2 linked regions of the Caenorhabditis elegans genome follow. The protein of the gene in region 1 interacts with the protein of each later gene in a pairwise test. Each region holds a gene or a part of one and is shown on either strand. Other genes may lie near its edges.

What was found.
Region 2: the proteins of F53E4.1 (region 1) and F42F12.4 interact in a two-hybrid assay, tested with the Caenorhabditis elegans proteins (one large-scale study listed by BioGRID).

What each region holds. Positions count from the first base shown.
Region 1 is NC_003283.11:15,665,291-15,670,258, reverse strand, and holds the start of F53E4.1 (Kelch domain-containing protein 3), read left to right. Parts: upstream 1-1,958; coding exon 1,959-1,970; intron 1,971-4,968. Other genes in the region: K06B4.4 (Conserved plasma membrane protein), read right to left, coding at 168-243, 293-374, 429-513, 829-903, 949-1,089.
Region 2 is NC_003284.9:12,351,495-12,355,002, forward strand, and holds F42F12.4 (Acireductone dioxygenase), read right to left. Parts: upstream 1,454-3,508; 5' UTR 1,452-1,453; coding exon 1,335-1,451; intron 1,293-1,334; coding exon 1,173-1,292; intron 1,125-1,172; coding exon 1,032-1,124; intron 834-1,031; coding exon 747-833; intron 690-746; coding exon 570-689; 3' UTR 501-569; downstream 1-500. Other genes in the region: srdf-2.2 (3-oxo-5alpha-steroid 4-dehydrogenase (NADP(+))), read left to right, coding at 32-98.

The sequences.
Region 1 (4,968 bases):
TTGTTGCAAATGTTTAGTTCTTTTTGAAAAATCTCAGTACACCTTTGATCAGCCTTTGAGTTATTATGGTAATTAACATTTATAAGCAAAATTTATAATTTTTCAAAACATCAAGTTTATTCACTAATAAATAAATGCGAAAAATTACAAGTATTTCATTTTCCCGTTTAAACTGCCTTCTTTCCTCCAGTATCCTCAACTTCGTACAGATGTTCCAGCAACCTCTTGGACGATTGGAAAAAACTGAAATAAAACAAATTCAGGGTTTGTATCCCATAGACCAAAAAATAACCTCATCTTGCACATAATCAGCACAGAAATCATCAGCAACCCGGTCATAAATAACATTGAAATTGGAGCCAGGCGGCTTGTCCCTGAAAGTTTTAATTTTGAAATTGATTCTACAAGTAAAATTCTAAAATACTAACAATACAAAAGCTGTTGATTGTCCTCGACGTTCAAACGAATATAAATGTAGAAATAGAAGATGGTGGATGTGACTAGATGAATCGCCTGAAATTTGCGTTAACCCTACGAATTTTCAAGGTTTTTGTGAAAAAACTACTCGGGAAGTATTGAGAAATCAGAAAACTTCTGAATTTGTTCCAAACAAGATCATTTATTTTTCCATTACTCAACTAATTTTCAATTACCCCGTGGTGTCAGAATGTCCAATTTCGGTGTGATCTACAAAAAATGCGGGAATTTTTCGAATAGAAATATGTGACGTCAGCATGATCCTAACCATACAAAATCAGTTGAGAAGTGTGATTTTAAAATTTTGCATTTTTTGCAGATTACACCAGAGTGTGACACCTCGTGAATTACCCCCAAAATTCCGCAGTAACAGAACCATCGCTTGCTCTCAGGCTCGATCGTTACGAAGAATACACCATAGATGATCTGTATAAATGTTTTTTTAATTGAATTTTTTAAATCTCTTCTCACCGCAAAAAGGTTGAACGAAAGGAATAAGCCGAAATTGTCGAAACGCTCGACTTTGCGATCTCCGAAGATTGCGCAGAATGCATCAATCAGAAAAAGCATCGTCTTCCAGAGATACAGGCACATGTAGCCGACACTGATCATTGAATATTGATTCTGAAAATTTCAGACTGTGAACAATTTACGGGCTTCGCCCGCAACATTTTGATTTTGGAGAGCAATGCCTACATGCCTGCCTACCGCCTATTTTCCTCATTTTGGTGAGAGCTCAGTTATTTTTCACAAAAGCTCTGATGATTGTGGACAATTTTGAAAGCTCGTCGACTTTGACAGCGAGAATCGCTTTGTGCAGCGGAGCGCGTTTGCATAACTCCATTTTTCTGTCCGCGGCCGAGATTCACACACAGCCACTCTTCCATTTTTGCAAGCGTGAAACCCTGGAACCTATAGCTCACCTCAAAAGTAATGCCAAGTTTGAATAGAAAATTTTCGATGCCATCATTTATTTATTAGTGAATAAACTTGATGTTTTGAAAAATTATAAATTTTGCTTATAAATGTTAATTACCATAATAACTCAAAGGCTGATCAAAGGTGTACTGAGATTTTTCAAAAAGAACTAAACATTTGCAACAAAACTACCAAAAAATATTTGAGAAAAAAGTTAATTTTCCCTTTAGAAAACTATATTTCAACTCTTGAAAATTGAGAAATTTGTCTAAAACCCGTAAATTTCGCGTCTGGGTAACAAAAAATGTTCAAAAAATTTATTTATTGAATCCCGTGAACATTCATTTTTTTATTTAGTTTTTTTTCTAAATAAAAACTGCCGTGTAATCAATTTTCGTCATTCCTTCGTTCGGTCACGGTCGCAAAATGTCGCGAATTGTGGATGGCATCGAAAATTTTCTATTCAAACTTGGCATTACTTTTGAGGAAAAGTAACGAAAAGGACGTGCGCCCATCAACTATTTACTTAAGCAATAACTAAAACTAGATGCGACACGTACAGGATGGCTCAACAGGTAAGATAATGGTTCATAGACTCAACGACAAGCGACGGACAAGTTCAACTCCCCTCAATGGCAACAAAAGTTCTTCGAGTTATCACAAAACAGTTCTAGAATAGTCGATGAATGCATTTTTAATATTTAGAGACAAATTCGCAATATTTTGAGACAAAATCGCAATATTCTGAGACGAAATCTCAATCTTCGGAGATGAAATCTCAATCTTCGGAGACTAGTTCGCAGTCTTTTGAGACAAATTAGTAATATTTTGAGATAAAACGGAAGTCTTCCTAGAAATTTTCACACTTTCGCAATATTTTGAGATGAAATTGTAATCTTTTGAGACAAAATTGAAATCTATTCGAAATTTTTAGTAATCGTATATGGACGCACTATTTCTCGTTTTTACTACAAAAATATTGCTATTTAATATTTTCATATTAGATTTGAGTTGCCTGAGTAGTTGTTTTTACTTTTTATATCAGCGCTTTTATTTTTGAACCAAAATCAAAAATCTTTTTTTCTCCTCCTTTCCCCCAATTAGCTTTACAATTGATACCTAATTTCAAAGTATGAAATCGATTTTAAACCCACAAAAACCGAAGGAAATCATTTTTCAGTGGTAAAATTTTCCAACGCTCAAGAGAAACGCGCAAGCCCCCTTGTTGGGTCATTTCCACGTGAGGAGGCTGTGGGTCTGGGAAATAGAAAAAAGAAGTTTCAGCCATATTTTATCATATGGCCGCGAAAAAAAGAAAAACTCGGTCACCAATGGAATCCCGATTCTTCGTTTCTCACTTTCAGACATTGGTGTTTTCATTTTCAGATATTCAGACACGATAAAACGTTTACAGCAATAAAATGGGATGCGAATTGAAGGGAAATGGGAGAAAAGTGGTATATCGGCGTCAACTTCTACTTTCACAATTCAATCGCCTTTTCACTTTTTCTTTCGCTCGGGTTTTCTTACTTTTCAGAGTAAAAGCAGTAGATATCATGGGATTAACTATCTTTATTGATATTCATCTTTTTTTTTAATTTTGTATATTTTTCGCGATTTTAATCCATTGAAATCCTTTAGTTACGGTAGACAATACAAGTTGCGTATTGTGTGCCCATTGCTTTCGAATTTTCTTGATTTTTCTTCTGTTATAATATTTACTTTTATTAATTTTTGTAAATTATAACAATTTTTGGGACAAATCCCGCCGAAAAAGTGAAAATAGGCACTAAAATGCCTAAATTTCGATAAAAATGAATCTTGTTTCGTAATTCCGTGCAATTGACACAAATACGAGCTTTTGCCTTATCAGTTATTTGAAAAACGAGTCTATTTAAAACTTTGTACCGTCCGGCGGGAACTTTCAATTTCAGTCGACCGACCATCTGATAGACGTTATCAAGACAACCACGTGCTGCTCGTTTTCTTACTGATTAGGGCAGAAAAGCCACATTTTTTGTATGTTTACCAAAAAAAAGTGTTTGAAAATAATAATTTGTAATCATCAAATTATATATTCTTGGATCCAGCGAAAATATTTTCCGTTTTTTCTTTCGGGCTATTTTTACGATATATTCGCTAAAACACTAAAGTTAGTTCAATGTTTGATTTCTTGACGTTGTCTATAGTTTTATGACATAAAAATTCTTTAAAAAAAGTACTTTAAGAATTAAAAAATAACGATTTTGTTTCATTTGGCGCAAAAAGTGACCAAATGACTGAATTTCTCGGAGAAACTGCTCAAAATTAAAAAAAGAGCTATTTTTATCTATAATCTCTTGGCCAACCGGAAATTAATTTTTAAAATTTAATTACCACCCAATTTTGCACAGTTTGGTTGTTAATTGCGTGTTTTTCGTTTTTTAAAATACATTTTCGGTTTTTTTGGCTTACCTATCGACCGAAAATATACATAAATCAACAAAAAAAAGCATGTAATGAAACCAGGTCATTTTTTGAAATTTTGATCATTTTTGAGCAGTTTCTCTATGAAATCATGTCATTTGGACACATTTTAAATCGATTTAATAGTCGTTACTCCATGTTTAAGGCATTCTGAAAACATTTTGATATACAGAATTCATCGATGTCATTTTTCCGGCAGTTGTTATCTTGAAAATCGGTAATTCAGGCACTTGTCGAAATCACGAAAATTCGAGATCAAAGTTTCTTAAACCTAAAATATTTAGATCCAACTTCGAAATAGATCTAGGATTGAAAATCTCTGGAAGTCTCTGGAAATCGGTAATCACATTGTTGGTGGGCGGCAAACGATTTTTCCGGCAAGTTGGCAAATTGCCGAAATTGAGATTTCCAGAAAATTGCCGTAATTTAAAATTTCCGGCAAAGCGGGAAATTGCCGATTTGTCAACAAAAAATTTGCCGGACGGCAATTGCCGCCCACTCCTGCCTTGTACCTCCAGCCGACATCCAACTGAAATCTTTTTGACCTGTCCTTTCCCTCCTTGTTTCATTTAAAAGAACGGCGGTTTCACCCAATATAGTTGCCAATAAAGTGTCTAATTCCCACTAGAACAACTCTCGCTGTAACTGTACTGATCACAAGGGAACTCGTTTTCTCCCCGTTTCCTCATCACTTCATTATTCTCGAGGCGACCTTCTCGAAATGATGTGTATGTTTCATTCAAATATATAAAGAAAAGGGACAGTTTACAGCGTCGTATCGTGTCCTCTGATTTTCTCGGTGTTTCTCCTCTGAAACCCCATTACTCATTTAGAGGCAAAAGCCGACATGTTACACTGTTGTAGAGGAGGACAGGTCTCTCTTGTTGTTCGAGAATCACACTTCCCATGGCAGATGTTTGGGTGTAGTTCTTTTTCGGTTCGATTTTTGAGAGCTTTAAAGTGATCCCTCTGAAAATTCAAGTGGTTGCGATCTAGTTGAAGCTGAGAAGTTCAGGTTTTTAAAAATTGAAATTTTCGACTTTTCTCAGTTAACAGACCATAGTTTTCAATCCGACTTCAAGTGTTCTATTCAATGTGTCACAAGTG
Region 2 (3,508 bases), on another chromosome or scaffold:
TGTCCCCGAACATCAATATATAAATTTTCAGTTGGTACAAGGAGAAGTTCCCGAAATACCCACCAACGCGTCGTGCCCTAATTCCGTACATCTATTAATTTACAATTATTTGTTTTGTTGTAATTTTTATAGTTTTACTCACCTCACATTCCGTTGATCGGCATCGGCATCTAATTTCTAATGCTTCAAGTTTACCGTGTGATGAAAAGTTTCTAAAATTGCAAATAATTTTCAAATAACTTTTTTTAAATGACATAAGTTTTTAACAGTATCTAAAACTGAAAGTTGAATAGGAACATCTCTGCTGAAAACAACAAACAAGACATTTACAGATGAGACACAAAACACAGATTTTCAAATGAAGATATTGAATAAGTATATAATTTTTAAGCGACATTGACCAGCTCCATATCAGGGCACAAAAAACCTTTTTTCAATATGGTAACGCGAATCACAACATTAACAGTAGTTTTTGCTTTTCAACTTTACTATTTCGTTGACACAAATGGACTGTTTATTGCATCAAATACAGAAATATGCAAACCACGGAAATTGACTAGACGTTGTAATTAAGCAGAAATATCGTTCAAATATTGCTGGCGAACTCGTTGCTCATCTCCATCAGCTTTGCGGTTGAATGCAGTCCACTTGGGATTATTTCGGAAAAGTCTCAGAGCAACGACGTCTTCCTGAAAATTAATATTTCTTCACTATAGTTCCAATAAAATTAGTATACAAAAACTCACCGAAGGATCGGTAGTGAAGCGATGGTAGATTCCTGCGGGAAGAAAAACAAAGTCTCCTCGACGAACTGGGATGCGGATCCAAGCTTCCTGTTTTTCTTTTTTTTTTTTTGTTTTTCTTTGAAAAAGGAAGTTTTTTTTTAACGATTTGAACATTTGGAATGTTTCTAATAACTTCCGTAATTTTTCAGATATCATCATGAAAATTGGAGATCATAAATTTTTCAACATTTGCCATCGAACTGCATTAACACTTTTTCAAAAACTTTTTTTTTCAATAAAACTCACGTCTTTTGTTCTGACGTCAAAGAACCCAACGCCATGCTTAATTACACGAAGTTCCGCATCATCGTGAAGATGTTCTTCAAAGAAGATGTCAAGCTGAAAATGCAAATGTTTATTTCTGTTATTGACTTTCAAATTGTTTACTTTTTCATCGAAATTCGGCATGGTGGCACGACAAATATGAACTTCGTCGTGAAAATTCATGTCATATTTCTTGATAAGACGATCCAAGTCCTCTTGAACATGTTCGTCATCAAAGTTGACCTGAAAGGAAAATCATTGTTTGAGAAATGCCTCAAATATTACTTTTGTGCATTCGACTCCAATTCGCAAAAGATCTTCTTCGGTAGCTTCTTTGTTCGGCGAAAATCTGCATTCATCTTGGCGATTTTCCTTGGTAACATCAGTCATGAAATACGCCATCTCTGGAAATATTAAAATCAGTAGAGAATTGGCTAAAAAAAAAGAGAAAAAAACGAAGAACAAAGAACGGAGGTGCATTTCATAAATGTAATAAAATCGATAACAGTGCGATGGACAGCAAAGACTGTTTCGATGAACACACCGATAACGGAGACCACTTTTTATAGACATTGTGAACTAGTTAGATACCATTCGGTCATTTGAAAAATACCTGTTTGGTTTGAATTGAATTATGAAGTGACTTTATCACAAATACATTTGATTTAATATAATCGCAGCGATCGGAATTGGATTTTACAAACACTAGTTTGTTTAAAATATTAAAAAACTACAGAATTGCTGACGTTTTCACAATTATTGCTGGGTTGGCAAAAAGTCAGTTCAGGACTATCAGATACTGCACCACTATTATGAAGAAGCTGCTCAACAAATTTTACACATATTTGTGATCGCATTTTAAATGTGGGTGCTATTACCGTTTTTAAAGTTTCCGTAAAAGAGTTTTCATAGAGTCCTTTCGTTTTATATCAACACATTTTGTTTTGCAAACAATTTTTATTGAATGAATGTGTAAACGACTGAGAAACACATACAAATTTAAAGATTATTGTAGAGTTTGTTGCAACCGCTTATCTTGTTTTTTAGCTGGTGTGGTTTTCAAGCAGCATCTGAAGTCTTTATCAGTTGTGCAGGAACCATCATAGACAGCAGCACAGTTATGAACACAGAAATTGTAGCAAGTTTTGTTGGTTTGAGTGGCAAAACTGATCCATGGAGAGCAGAATGCGTAAGATTCATCACCATTGACACCAGCACAGAACTTTGTTTTCAGAATTTAAAAACAGCATTGCAAAAACTTTCATAACCACCGAGTTTAAGCAGAAAAAGTACGTTTTCAGGCCTAATTTTGGAGCACATTTTAAAATAGAATGGAATGGGAAATTAGTAGATTTACCAAGCTTTGAAAATTAATATCTGGCTTCAAACTATCTTTTTGGAAAATCCCTGTAGCCATTTTATTGCAAATTTCGTGTTCTTTCTGAATTTAAAAACAGCATTGCAAAAACTTTCATAACCACCGAGTTTAAGCAGAAAAAAAACGTTTTCAGGCCTTATTTTGGAGCACATTTTAAAATAGAATGGAATGGGAAATTAGTAGATTTACCAAGCTTTGAAAATTAATATCTGGCTTCAAACTAACTTTTTGGAAAATCCCTGTAGCCATTTTATTGCAAATTTCGTGTTCTTTCTGAATTTAAAAACAGCATTGCAAAAACTTTCATAACCACCGAGTTTAAGCAGAAAAAAAACGTTTTCAGGCCTTATTTTGGAGCACATTTTAAAATAGAATGGAATAGGAAATTAGTAGATTTACCAAACTTTGAAAATTAATATCTGGCTACAAACTAATTTTTTTGAAAATCCCTTTTTGAAAATCCCTGTAGCCATTTTATTGCAAATTTCGTGTTCTTTCTGAATTTAAAAACAGCATTGCAAAAACTTTCATAACCACCGAGTTTAAGCAGAAAAAGTACGTTTTCAGGCCTAATATTGGAGCACATTTTAAAATATAATGGTATAGGAAATTAGTAGATTTACCAAACTTTGAAAATTAATATCTGGCTACAAACTAATTTTTTTGAAAATCCCTTTTTGAAAATCCCTGTAGCCATTTTATTGCAAATTTCGTGTTCTTTCTGAATTTAAAAACAGCATTGCAAAATCTTTCATAACCACCGAGTTTAAGCAGAAAAAGTACGTTTTCAGGCCTAATATTGGAGCACATTTTGAAATATAATGGTATAGGAAATTAGTAGATTTACCAAACTTTGAAAATTAATATCTGGCTACAAACTAATTTTTTTGAAAATCCCTTTTTGAAAATCCCTGTAGCCATTTTATTGCAAATTTCGTGTTCTTTCTGAATTTAAAAACAGCATTGCAAAAACTTTCATAACCACCGAGTTTAAGCAGAAAAAGTACGTTTTCAGGCCTAATATTGGAGCACATTTTAAAATAGAATGGAATAGGAAATTAGTAGATTTACCAAACTTTGA